Neodiprion lecontei: one gene and its partner. The protein of the gene in region 2 interacts with the protein of the main gene of each other region in a biochemical or structural test. Links are inferred from orthologs where the notes say so. Each region holds a gene or a part of one and is shown on either strand. Other genes may lie near its edges.

Evidence for each region. The genes of interacting proteins can lie anywhere in the genome.
Region 1: the proteins of mitogen-activated protein kinase kinase kinase 4 (region 2) and dual specificity mitogen-activated protein kinase kinase 4 form a complex in vitro, tested with the Homo sapiens proteins (2 studies listed by BioGRID, with this or other methods). The link is inferred for Neodiprion lecontei from reciprocal best matches to the Homo sapiens genes MAP3K4 and MAP2K4.

What each region holds. Positions count from the first base shown.
Region 1 is NC_060264.1:28,643,419-28,650,546, forward strand, and holds dual specificity mitogen-activated protein kinase kinase 4, read right to left. Parts: upstream 5,166-7,128; 5' UTR 4,738-5,165; coding exon 4,695-4,737; intron 4,204-4,694; exon of another isoform or gene 4,189-4,203; coding exon of another isoform or gene 4,179-4,188; intron 4,021-4,178; coding exon 3,952-4,020; intron 3,512-3,951; coding exon 3,400-3,511; intron 3,057-3,399; coding exon 2,964-3,056; intron 2,895-2,963; coding exon 2,687-2,894; intron 2,394-2,686; coding exon 2,274-2,393; intron 2,049-2,273; coding exon 1,749-2,048; intron 1,534-1,748; coding exon 1,307-1,533; intron 1,191-1,306; coding exon 1,025-1,190; 3' UTR 528-1,024; downstream 1-527. Other genes in the region: 28S ribosomal protein S7, mitochondrial, read left to right, coding at 5,794-5,867, 6,624-6,812, 7,104-7,128. UniProt on the Homo sapiens protein: Dual specificity protein kinase which acts as an essential component of the MAP kinase signal transduction pathway. Essential component of the stress-activated protein kinase/c-Jun N-terminal kinase (SAP/JNK) signaling pathway.
Region 2 is NC_060262.1:27,712,384-27,717,263, forward strand, and holds the start of mitogen-activated protein kinase kinase kinase 4, read right to left. Parts: upstream 3,027-4,880; 5' UTR 713-3,026; coding exon 630-712; intron 8-629; exon of another isoform or gene 1-7. UniProt on the Homo sapiens protein: Component of a protein kinase signal transduction cascade. Activates the CSBP2, P38 and JNK MAPK pathways, but not the ERK pathway. Specifically phosphorylates and activates MAP2K4 and MAP2K6.

The DNA.
Region 1 (7,128 bases), on a different chromosome or scaffold from region 2:
TTTTACACAGTAAATGAGAAGTATCGATTTGATTTTTGAAAACAAAAACCTAGCGATAAATATCTGTGGTTTGCAGGTACATTTTTGAAATGTTTAGAAAGCTCATATAGGATTTTAATGTTTCATTTAAAAATCAAAATCCGATTGTGTGGATGGTGTTTTAGGTTAGAAACTGAAATTAAAAACAAGTTCGTGTTCGAAAACTGGTACTTAGTTCGCTAATATTTAATATAGAAATATTCCAGTTTCTAGTGCGTGACGTGTGAAGGTGATAGTACTTTTCGAAATTTAGGAATGTATTATCCATGTAATTATTCAACTCGTGTGTAGTTCTGAATCAATTATTATTATTATCATCATTCATTATTTATTATTCTTACAGTACAGTATTTTAACGTTGGTATAAGCTTGTTCCTAATAAAATCGCCAGAACGAGCAATTAGGTACTTTGTACTGTTTTGGCGAACTATTTCCAAGTCATATGCATATATAAAACATGGAATTAAAACATTAAACAATATATACAATTCACAACAATTTTCTTTTCGTGTATTTCTTTTTTTTTTACTATTTAGTTTTTACTCTCCGTTTTTTTTTACGTTTTTCTCGTCTTCTTTTTCGGTGATTGAAATTCGTAATATTACAAGAACTACGGATCGTTCTGGAGATGATATCTAATATATGTTTATTTTTACTTTATGTAAGAGGTACGCCACAGCTGTGTTTTGCGACAGTTCATTTTTCTGTTTGTTTCTCTCAAGATTCGTAGGAAATTATTTTCTATTATATGAATTATCTCCGCGATTGTTTTCCTCTTTTTTTTTCTTTCTCTACATATTAGATACAATTGAATGTCGTTCATTACCTCCTACTCGCTACGGAGTATCCTTGTTTCAAAAGTCCTTTATCAGGAGGGGCCTTTCCGTAATAAAATTATATTCCAAGGGGAACATAGTACATCTTCTACGTTACTTTTACGGAGGAGGTCCATGGAATGCATTTCTTTTCATACAATTTTTTTTTCTTAAGGCTGATTTGTGGTGAACGGCGTCACTCCATTGTTAGCCATACTGTCCAACACTCCGCTGACGTACGCGGCCACGTCTATTTTCGCTTCTTCACCTTTCCTTATGAACGGATGTTCCAAAAGTTTGTTGTATTTTGGACGCTGCGTCTCTTCCTTGATCAAACTGCAAGCAAAAACGGTAAAACAATTTAGAATCTATCTCCAACCCAACATCCTTCATGATCGCAAAGATTCAGCTAATTCTTAATTCGATTGAAGAACTCGCGTTTCAGTCATTACCATGTGTTTACGAAATTGACAAAATCCATTGTGAAACGATTTCCATTCTCGTTGGGTGACAAACGCGGCGGGTCTCCTTGTACCACCTGATATAGTTGTTCGAATACCGAATTCCATTTTGGATATGGAAAATACCCAGTCGCTACTTCCATCAGCGTTATGCCCAAAGACCATACGTCACTCCTGACGTCATATCCTCTTGCTCGTTGGGGATCTATCCTTTCGGGCTGTAAAATTTTTCTTTCTCATTACGTGGCAAAATTGAAAAAAGTAGATAATAAACTCAATGAAATTTCACACTTTTTTTAGTCTAGTACTTCCATTGATTTTAGATTAATATCTCTGCTGATTACAATTACGGTAAAATCGATCGTTTGCGAAAATGCTTTGAACTTACATTTGTACTTGGATCAAAGTTAGTATTTCTTTAGTTATTACTCACAGCCATATAAGGCCTGCATCCGGCGTCTCGTGTTCGGGCAATTGAATCGACCAGTTGTCCAGAAATGCCAAAATCGCACAGCTTGATGTTACCGCGACGGTCGAGAAGTATGTTGCTTGGCTTAACATCACGGTGAATAATTTTGAGCTTCTCCTTAAGATAATTTAATGCCTTAACTGTAGCTACTGTGATTTTTCCCAGTATACTTTCAGGTATCCTCTCGTTTAATCTCTCATATATAAATTTGTAGAATTTGTCTAAAGACGTGTCCATCAGTTCCATACAAATCCAACAGTCTCCCTGTGCAAGAAAAGAAGAGGAACCGTTGTAGCATCACTTTGGTTACAAATGTTACAACAAAATGAGGTCAAAGATATAATTTCAAGATGCAGGTATTATACAACTCGACCAACTCAAAATGTTGGATGAAGGGCTAGAATACCGTTTTTTTTCTACTTGATGGTTGCGAAATTTTCTATTAGCAAAAATTCTACATGTGAATATGTGAAACGAAAAATTATTCACCTCTTTAAATAAAGCTCCATAAAATTGCACGATGCAGGGACACTCGTTGGATTTCATAACAACTTCCAAATCCATTAAAAGTTGTTTCTGTTCTCTTTCATCCACTGTTGAGCGAATCCTCTATATAATGGAAAATAAAAAAGTTGCATTCATAAGGAATCGTGATGAGTTTGCGCAATATGTTTTGGTCTGAACTATTATTGGAAAGGATTTTTCATTGAAAATCAAGGTAAGTTATGGTGGAACACATAAATATATATCATCATTAATAAGACTCGAATGTTCTACGTTGAAGAGTATTTACGAAAATTTTTGTAGAAATACTTTTATTATTTAATTAATTATGATTCGTGACGAAAATTGTTTTTACATAATTACGAAACCTCTGGTCAAAGGGAAATTATTCTTCTCACCTTCACAGCCATGACGGTATTGCTTATCCTATGTATCATCTTATTTACAGTGCCAAATCCTCCGCGCCCGATCTCTCCCAAGTCTTGTAAATCCTCGCTGGTAAAATCATATATCGTGTCAGGAGATAACTGAAGTTTTCCCGTGCTCTGCATTGATTGACACATCCGTAATTTCTCCCTGGAATAATACCTCATATGCACAGAATTACTGCAGTATGAACATCGTCGTTACTTAATTCAGTATAATATATAATCATCTCGCATTCAAGCTTATTACCTTGCTTTATCTGGGAGAAATTCTTGTTGCGCCGCTGGCCGAGGCCTAATCGGCAACTTTGGCAGAGGTAAGGGCAAGCTAGGGCGAGACGACCTATTATTCATAGTAATGTCATTTAGAACTCAGTTTCTCATGCCTTTCTAAAGAATTTCGTTGTTGGTGGAAATCCGGTTGATCGTAAAATTGGGGTACTTATACATTACTACGTTCGTTAAACCTAATACCTCGAAATTCCTTGTAAATGTTCCCGAACCAAAAATTTATTCTCTCCATACACGATTGTACTAATATTTATTTAGAATATACAATTTGCTTGGCAGAATATGATTCGGAAGAACAGCTCTTGGAGTTGGTAAGGAATATTTTTACACATTATTCCACATTAAATTGAAGAAGGAAAAAGTGTTATTGTTTTGTGAGACCGTTGTTTACTTACGGCAATGGTGGGCATGATGACATACTGGTGGAATTGGAGTGGGTCGAGTTTGTGGAATTTGAAAAGGTTAGGCTACCAGATCCCAGATTCATCTTCAACGCCTGTCTTTTCTCTGTTGAATTCAACAAACAAATAAATTAAGGTAATGCGAAAATATGCTTAATGACAATAACAAATCAATTCAAAGGATGAATGAAACAAGAACCCAAGTTGATAAGAGACACGAATACAAACTCTGCCAGTTATTAACACAAAGAATGCCAAAGATAAGATAAAGATTTTAAAAATCCTAAAACTGAGAAACGCACTCCTTCAATTAACATCAAATGATGAAAGTCTTGTACGTAAGTAGGGAGATTTCAAAATATATTGTCATATGCCGTTACTGATCCACCACATTCACACCACATTCGAGTATTAAATTTTACATCGCAATAACTTGCTACATTTTTTCAATTTTCCTCTCATCTCTTGTTATGGATAAATCAGGTACTTGATCCATTGATCCATCAGCTGAATTAATTATTGATGGAGTGAAATCTAATCAGGTACCTGACACTTCATTCTGAATATCGCTATTGGACAGAAAATCCAAACGTGGAAAGAAGTTTCTGCCGGTTCCTGAAATGTTAGATAGACTTAAGAAAACAATTGTTGTTAATAAAAATTATTCACGGACGTTATGTCTGAGGTAGAACTCAGTGTGGTTAACGTTGCTAACCGCAGACATTTGTCTATGTTAAACTAACGACGATAATAACAACAACACTGACTATTACCGTATATCATTAAAGACGTCACAAAGTTGAATTATAAAATGTGCGTGTTCATTAATACGCTACTTTTTCGATTGCGGGGAAATGTCAAAACGCGTCAAAGACAGACGGATGCGAGAAAGAGAGGTAAGAAGGCAGGGGATAGGTGCATGTTTGTTGGGGATCGCGGATCCCGCTGATAAGACAATCCGTAGGCAACAACGTAGGTAGATTCGTCGTAAATCGTATAAAACATGCAAACGAAGGCGGTTAACGAGCAAGCGACGTTTCTGCAGACGATAAATAACAACTGGGTTGAATGAAATATCGGTTAGACCGATTGTTACGGGTTAGTCGAAACAGACGACTAACGATGTGACTGACGACTACCTGCATTTGCAACGACACGAGGACGGGGCATAGAACGAGTAGAGAACGGATTTGGAAGACAATTTTCCGTGGTAATAGATGCGGTGAAGATGAAGAAAGCGATGGGCAACACGTATAACGAGTCAATGAACGAGCGAAGGAAGGACGAACCTTGGTTTATTTGATGCGAAGAGTTTCCTTGATTCTCTGCCATTTTGATAATGTGGTGTTTTTAACGTCCCGTTTGGGTGCGGAAAATTCGTTTCTCCGCCGTATCTTCGATATAAACACAGATACGAAATTAATCCAACACCACCACTTGTCAAGGCTCTCCTTCGATACAAAGGGTTTAGGAGACCTTTTCACACGAACTTATCAATCTAACGGCGAACGTTGTTTTCAATGTACGAATCATTTGGGGGGTTATTTAACGTGTCGTTTTTTTTCCTCTCTCTCTCACTCCCTCTCTACCACTATCTATTTTATCAACGAATAACGATTTCAACGTTTTATTTGTTAACACGTATCGTTTATTTTCATTTCACTCCTCTGTTTTCCTCCTTTCTTTTCTTCCTTCTTTTTCTCGTCAACGCGATTGCTCCCAGGCTGGTTCCTCGAAACCACTACTACTTACTTTTCTATACCGTAAGTTGTGCTGGTTCATACCAATCGTACGATCAAACACCAGTTGGCCTCCCATTGGCTGAGACACCCCGTACACTTGCCCACAGTAATTCCGAGATGGCTAATTTTTCGGACAAGTCTGTTACGTTGGCAATCTAGAGAGGCTGGAAAACAGAATTTGTCATTATGTCATGTTAGGTGGCCGCGACACAAAACTTTGAAAAGGGCTAATACTTTGATTCAAATTCGATTGAATCGTAAAATAAATGATTGACGTACTATAATTATGGACGCATCTCGTAAAATACGAATAAGTAATTGTATTTTACCGGATTGTAAGGCTGAATTCATAAATAATAGTATTTTCCATGTTGGAACACGTCAATTATTTATCTCACGTTTCAATCAAATTTGAATCGAGTTTCAGCCCTTTTCAAAGTTTTGGCTCCCGGCCACTATCAAGGCGCTGTGGACACCTAACATGACGAATATATATCATATGCTATGGTAGCTAGGTTGACAGTTTACACTTTACCGGCGGTGTTGCTGCGGGTTCATTCTGCATTACCAATATAACCAACTTGTCCAAAAGATTAGCAGTTTCAGAATTATTGTGAATAAGTGTACCAACAGTAAGCCAACGAAAATGGCCGCACTTAAAATGTTTCACAGCAGACAATTCGCGGCTGCTACCGTTCGGTCTTTATTATCAATAAACAGGTGCGTCTTGTCAATTTGGGTATAATTTTTCGGTTGTATATATTCTATGGATTTTTTCCATGTCCATTTTTACTATAAGTCTTATAAGTCTACAGAATCATCTTCATTCTTGTCATTAATCGCATAACCTCAAAAGCACCGGGATGTGAGAAAAAAGTTTGATATTTATTTTGAAGAGTTGTAATTCAATGTTGACGAAAGAAATTCTCCTCGATATATGAAGCTGAAGCTAGTAACCAAAGTTAGCACACAAATCTGTTAAACTTTTTGGAAATAAAAAAAAGCAGTTCAGTTTTATCCTCATATTTCTCTTTTTCAAACGTACTGGAGGTTTAAGGTATTTTACAAAATTTTGATTTTCAGACTTGGCTTCACATTATTCAAATAAATATTAGAACTTTAATGCTGGCTTAGAAGGAGCAGTCTTGTTCTTGAAATGGGAATTGAAAATCTTTTTCATAAATATTCTTCGATGTCTTATAACATTCAAGGACCAGTTATCAAGCGCATTCTATTATTTTTTTGATCGTGTGGTATTATCGGAATGCAAATCAAATTTTGTCGTTTTGTATCAATGAATTTAACTGATTGTAAAACATTATTTAGAAAAAAATGAAGTGTACGTTTTTAAAAAGCTGGAGAACATGAGGAATTAAAAATATCATTTTTTAGATTCACTTTATTCAAAGAATTCTAATACACTTCAAATGTTTTTAAATATTTCCAACTCCAGTTTACCATTTTTACTTATTATAGATGGAGCGAAATCAACATCAAGAAAAATGACTACAGCGTTTATCCGCCATACTATGTTAGACCGGTTTATAAGAAGGAGCAGCAAGCTGCTCTCAAAGGAACTGAAGAGGCCGAACACCTAGCACATGCGCCGATTAAAGCAGCTAGAAACAATGAGACAAGTTCAGTTTTCCATGATGAGTTTCTAAGGTTGTGTGTTAATTTTTTATCCATCTCATCAATATAAGAGTTGAAAAAATTCACAATGTTTATATGAATGCAAATAAGGCAGTCTATTGAAATTCTGTGTCTCGATAGAATTGACAGTAAAAAAAAAACTTGTGGACAACTCCGAAAAATGAATGATTTTTTAAAATAATCATGATCGCAATTTTTTCTTTCTAATTTTGGTAGTATAAATTATCTATGAATTTATATGTACCGAAGAGATAAAAAGGCCTCTGCATAATTATAGTTTAAACATGCCTTCATTTTATGCAGACAATTTACCAACTACATTATGAAA
Region 2 (4,880 bases):
CGAAACAGACTACAAGAATTTTTGCTACAAGTTCAGCAAAATAAAATTTCCAATTTTTTCAGTCATATGTCCAAAACTTGTTTCAGTCTATAGGCTTAAAACTCGTAAATTAAAACATTTTATATCAAATCAAAACACTCAATTCCTGTTATTTTAATCTTGAAAAATCCGACGATACAACATAGATATTCACATATCAACACGGTGTAAAAATATAAAACAGCATTATCATTACCCGCCGACTTGCGACGCTGTTACACCATAGTTCAATTGTTTGTTTGAACTTGGCGTACTTTTCAAGTGACAATCGTACTTGAAACGTACCGTGTAAACATAAGCACACAAGTAAAGTGTAGTTTGAATATTTGGCGGAGTTTATCCGTCAAAAAATACTTCGAGAGATGAATTTACTGCAAGTACTGTTAGGTTAGGCGACATCAGCTGAATACGAAGGTAGATGATAAGCTAAGCGCGACGTACTCAGCGCAAGAGGCTAGTTGACCATCAAGTATGCTGCTAAGTAAACACAGAAATTCTCGATGTGTGAATTGCTACATTTTTCCAGTTCTATTTATAATGAAGGTCTAATAGTCGCGTGAATTATTACTCGGCTGTTTGACGGAACCCACCTGTCGTCAGAATCATCCCAGTCTAAACTCTCGGCGCCTGTTGTACCGTCGAAACACATCATTAATCCCTCTTCAAACGACATCTTTTTGCCACTTTTTCCCACGTCAACGACAGACGAAATAAACTCGAACGCCGACTGTCTATCGTCTGACCGCTTTTGTTCCCCTACTTACTCCCCAAGAGCGATGGAGTCGACCGCCCGACTATGCTGCATTCTCGCACGCAAAGTAAACACACTGCGACACCGACATATTCTCTTCGGCACTGAAAATTCCGACTTCGATGATGAGTGGCGACAATTACCCGAGTCGCTACCGCGAAATCAAGACTCGGTTCTTGGATCAACGTACGGAACAAACACTGCGCAAAATGGGTTTCTATTATTCCGTTGAACAGAACTTGTCGGATATGAATTGTGCGGATTTTCCCCAAGGCATTGTAATTTAACGACGAATTTCATGCTATTTGTTGAAACGAAGGATACGTGTTTGTCACGTATACATATGCATAATTGTTTCCACGTACGAAAATAAAAGATGGTATAAGACGATCTCTGAATCCTATCTAGTGGCAAGTGGACGCAATGTAGCCAAAATATGCTGCGAAGTACGTTTTGTTAATTAGTGGAAATATCATATATACAGTAAATACATAAATAAAACAATAATTAAAATGGAGTTATTGAGTCATCATATCCTTTAAACTCGATGGAAGGAAATTCTTGAAAAAACCTCAAACGGGTTGTAGATTTTGTAATGAACGACATGCGAAAGCTCTGACAAAAGTGTTGGGTAAATTAATAAAATTAATGACTCATGCGCCTCGACAACATTCGCGGATCATACAGTTCAAAAGTCAGGGGTTTCAATTCGCTCGAACGTCAAGGCGTAAAAGCGATGCCAAATGATTCCAGAAACTTTCAACCTGATTTACTGTTAGTCTGATTTTACGAGATTTATGACCCAACCGCCCCACCAATTATTTACAATAAAGTTGTAAAATGCAGTTTTAAATATTTTCTACCGATCGTGCACAAAGTTCAATTTCACAGCGGAAACATAGCGAAACTTCCCTGGTGAAAATTATTACTACTACGATTTTTTTGGCAGGAATTGGGCCATTCCGTATTATTTCGTACAAAATTGTAAATATGCATAGTTTTTCGTGAAAAATTGTCAATTTTCTTTAGAAATCGTGGTGGCGTATCGATTTTTTACTGAAAAAATTCAAATTTTCACAAAAATCTACAAATTTTTATGAGAAAGTATGCTTATACACAATTTTGTACGCAATGTCCCAACTTTCCACAAAAATTTGTAGAAAATCGTAAAAATCATTATCACCAGGGATATGAAAAAAGAATCATTTATGCTTTTGCAACGACTCTATAGGGAAAGATCAGTATAGAAATTTCGTTTTTCCCGCAAGTTACGGTTTACCGCATGACCGACGGTTTCAAGTTACAAAATAGCAATAAAATTACGCAGTTCCGGGTTTAGAGGGGGGCAACCAGGGCCGACACAATTTTTGGTAAAATTTCCTAGCAAATGGTATGTAAAATTACTCTTCTGACAAAAAAAAAAATTTAGAGCTACATTCCCAAACATTGAAATTACATTGAGAATGTATCTTGTGTTGATGGTGTCGAACTGCACTGGAGAGCGCTCATTTTCCAAAATGAAAATTATAAAAAGTAGGTTACGAACTACTATGAGACAAAGCCGTTTGTCAAAGTTATCCGTACTCAGCATTGAAAGTGATTTTCTCCGGGATTTTACCGATATCATTGATGACTTTGCGTCGAAAAAAGCTCGCAAAATTCCATTCGCCTAACGATGTAATTTAATGTGGCTCATTTTTTGTATTTTACAATATCGACATGTGTTAGTTGACATCATTGCATATGTCTCACAATAAATTATTGCTACACTATAAAAATGAAATTTTCCCATCTTGTTTGAAAAATAATTAGGGGCCTCCCACTTCTTTGTTGCCCTAGGGTTTCCACAACTATAAATCCGGCACTGACATTACGAATGAGATTATTAAATTCGACCTTATAATTTTACATAATTTCGAATCATTTAGAATGATTTCAGATCACGATTTCAAAGGCGTTTAATAACTGTTTTCCTGATTTCAAATTACTGCAAATCTGTTATAAACACATTTGCCGTACCTGAGATTTCCGAAGATGATTGAGTATTGTCACCAAGTTATCTATATTTCGTTCATAAATTGATGGGTAATTAAATGCTAATATCTGTCACTCAAAAGTCTTTTAGAAATATCCGTGTAACTTATTTCGTTAACGGATATTTACGTATTTAGGAATATCCATACACTTATAGAGGATTGACTGCGCGATCTGTTCACCACTGTTCACCGAGCTGAAGCCGTAATTAGACAGAGAGAGAGCTCAGCTGGAACCGGATCTCTCTGTTGCATGATAGAAAGATCGGCGGGGGGGGGGGGGGGGAGGGAGGTACATGCGTACGAATTTATACCCTCCCCCCCGCCAAGTTTCGCAATCAGATTAGAGTGAGATATCCGGCTCCAGCTATTGCTATCTCTTTCTAATTACGAATTCAGCTCACAATCAGTGAACAGACCGCGCAGACTATCGGTATAAGTCTATGGGAGTATCTAACCTGGTCAATGATAATCACTTAGGTGATGGTTATTCAGCAAGTCTGAAGTACACAATTTTAAAAGCTTGTAAAGAACAGAGATAATATGTTACGCGTATAGGTGTAGGAAATATCGCGTAAGAGAAACAAAAATTTCTTTTTTTCTGTAAGATACGAATTTTATTTAAACAATCTCTATTTTTTTTTTTTTTTTTCTTTTAGCAAGTACAGTACTTTCCATATATCCTTGCACCAACGAATTCTATCTATCGATATACAATACCCATGTATATGTATATCATATTCAATGATTTACACAAAATTTCACATTTTCATATTTTAATACTGCTGGAAACCATTGCCTGGTAGAAAAAAAAAAGGAAAAAAAAATAATCAAACAAACTCAGTAAACAAAGATTGTACAGTTATTTTTCCATAGATAAAATATCTGTTATTTATAATAATTATAGACTGAACGTCGCGTCGGTGCAATGCTCGCACGTGAAGTACTATCGTATTGTTAATTCTCGTTTTTTTCTTTTTTCTTTACATTTTCATGTTTTTTTTTTAGTGTAAAAATTGTATAACTCAGTGTTCTAGCACCTTGATTCATAATCAACGCAGTAAGAACAAAGACAAACTTTTTCTGTAAAGGGATAATAATTACTGAATATGTACCTAGATGTATTATTGTTTCTACAGAGCCCTTGATTAGATTAAGCAGATCATTGCTAAGGGGGATCGGGAGACCTATCGCTGCGTTTAAAAAATTAATAACAATATAAAAGGTATGGTTCTTCTCTTGCGTTTGCATAAAGGGTATGTAAATGGGGTATTAACACTTCTCATCAGCCTTTCGAATAATTTAGCTTACGAGCATAAGAAACTCTACCTTATTACACTAAAAATGTTTCTTTTTTTTTTTGTATATCGAATTTGAAACTTTCATTCAGCTTCTATAGCTGTGTAAATGTTCGTTATAATTTCGTGAATAAAGCATACTTAGAAATACATTGTACTTCATCTAAATGAGAAATTGGGGGGCTCGACGGCCTCTTTTCACTGAAATATGTTAAAATTCAACATTTTTTTTTCGCTCGTAAGGTGTTCATAGGACCTTGTGGATGAGAGCAGCGCAAAGACTTATATATGGTTATAGTCGACTAAAATACAATAACACGTAAAACTTTTGTGTTTTCTATATTTAGCTAAAACCATAAAGTTGAGAAAACATTTAAAACTCCGCACAGAACTAATTCGGGTCTTTCAGGATTGATACGCTTTTTCGAATCCAGGATTCCCCCAAGTACCCTGGTTTCTAGGTTTTCCCTGTGCGTATCGGCCCTGGGCTGTGTGCATCGAAAATAATTTCCAATTCTTATATGTGTATAAAGTAGAGAAATCTACAATAATTAGTTCCAATTTTTCATTAGCGTTACCAAAAGACAATTGCGATCGTTACATGCACCTGAACTTTATTGAGTTCGTAATATATAGAAATACCTTAGCGTAGGTGTGGTCATATATTTTTTTTGGTTTTCAACATATGTGTTTGCTTCAATTTTTGTTCAATTGCAAGAAAAATAGAAACTTATTATTTTTATAATTATCTGCTTTATA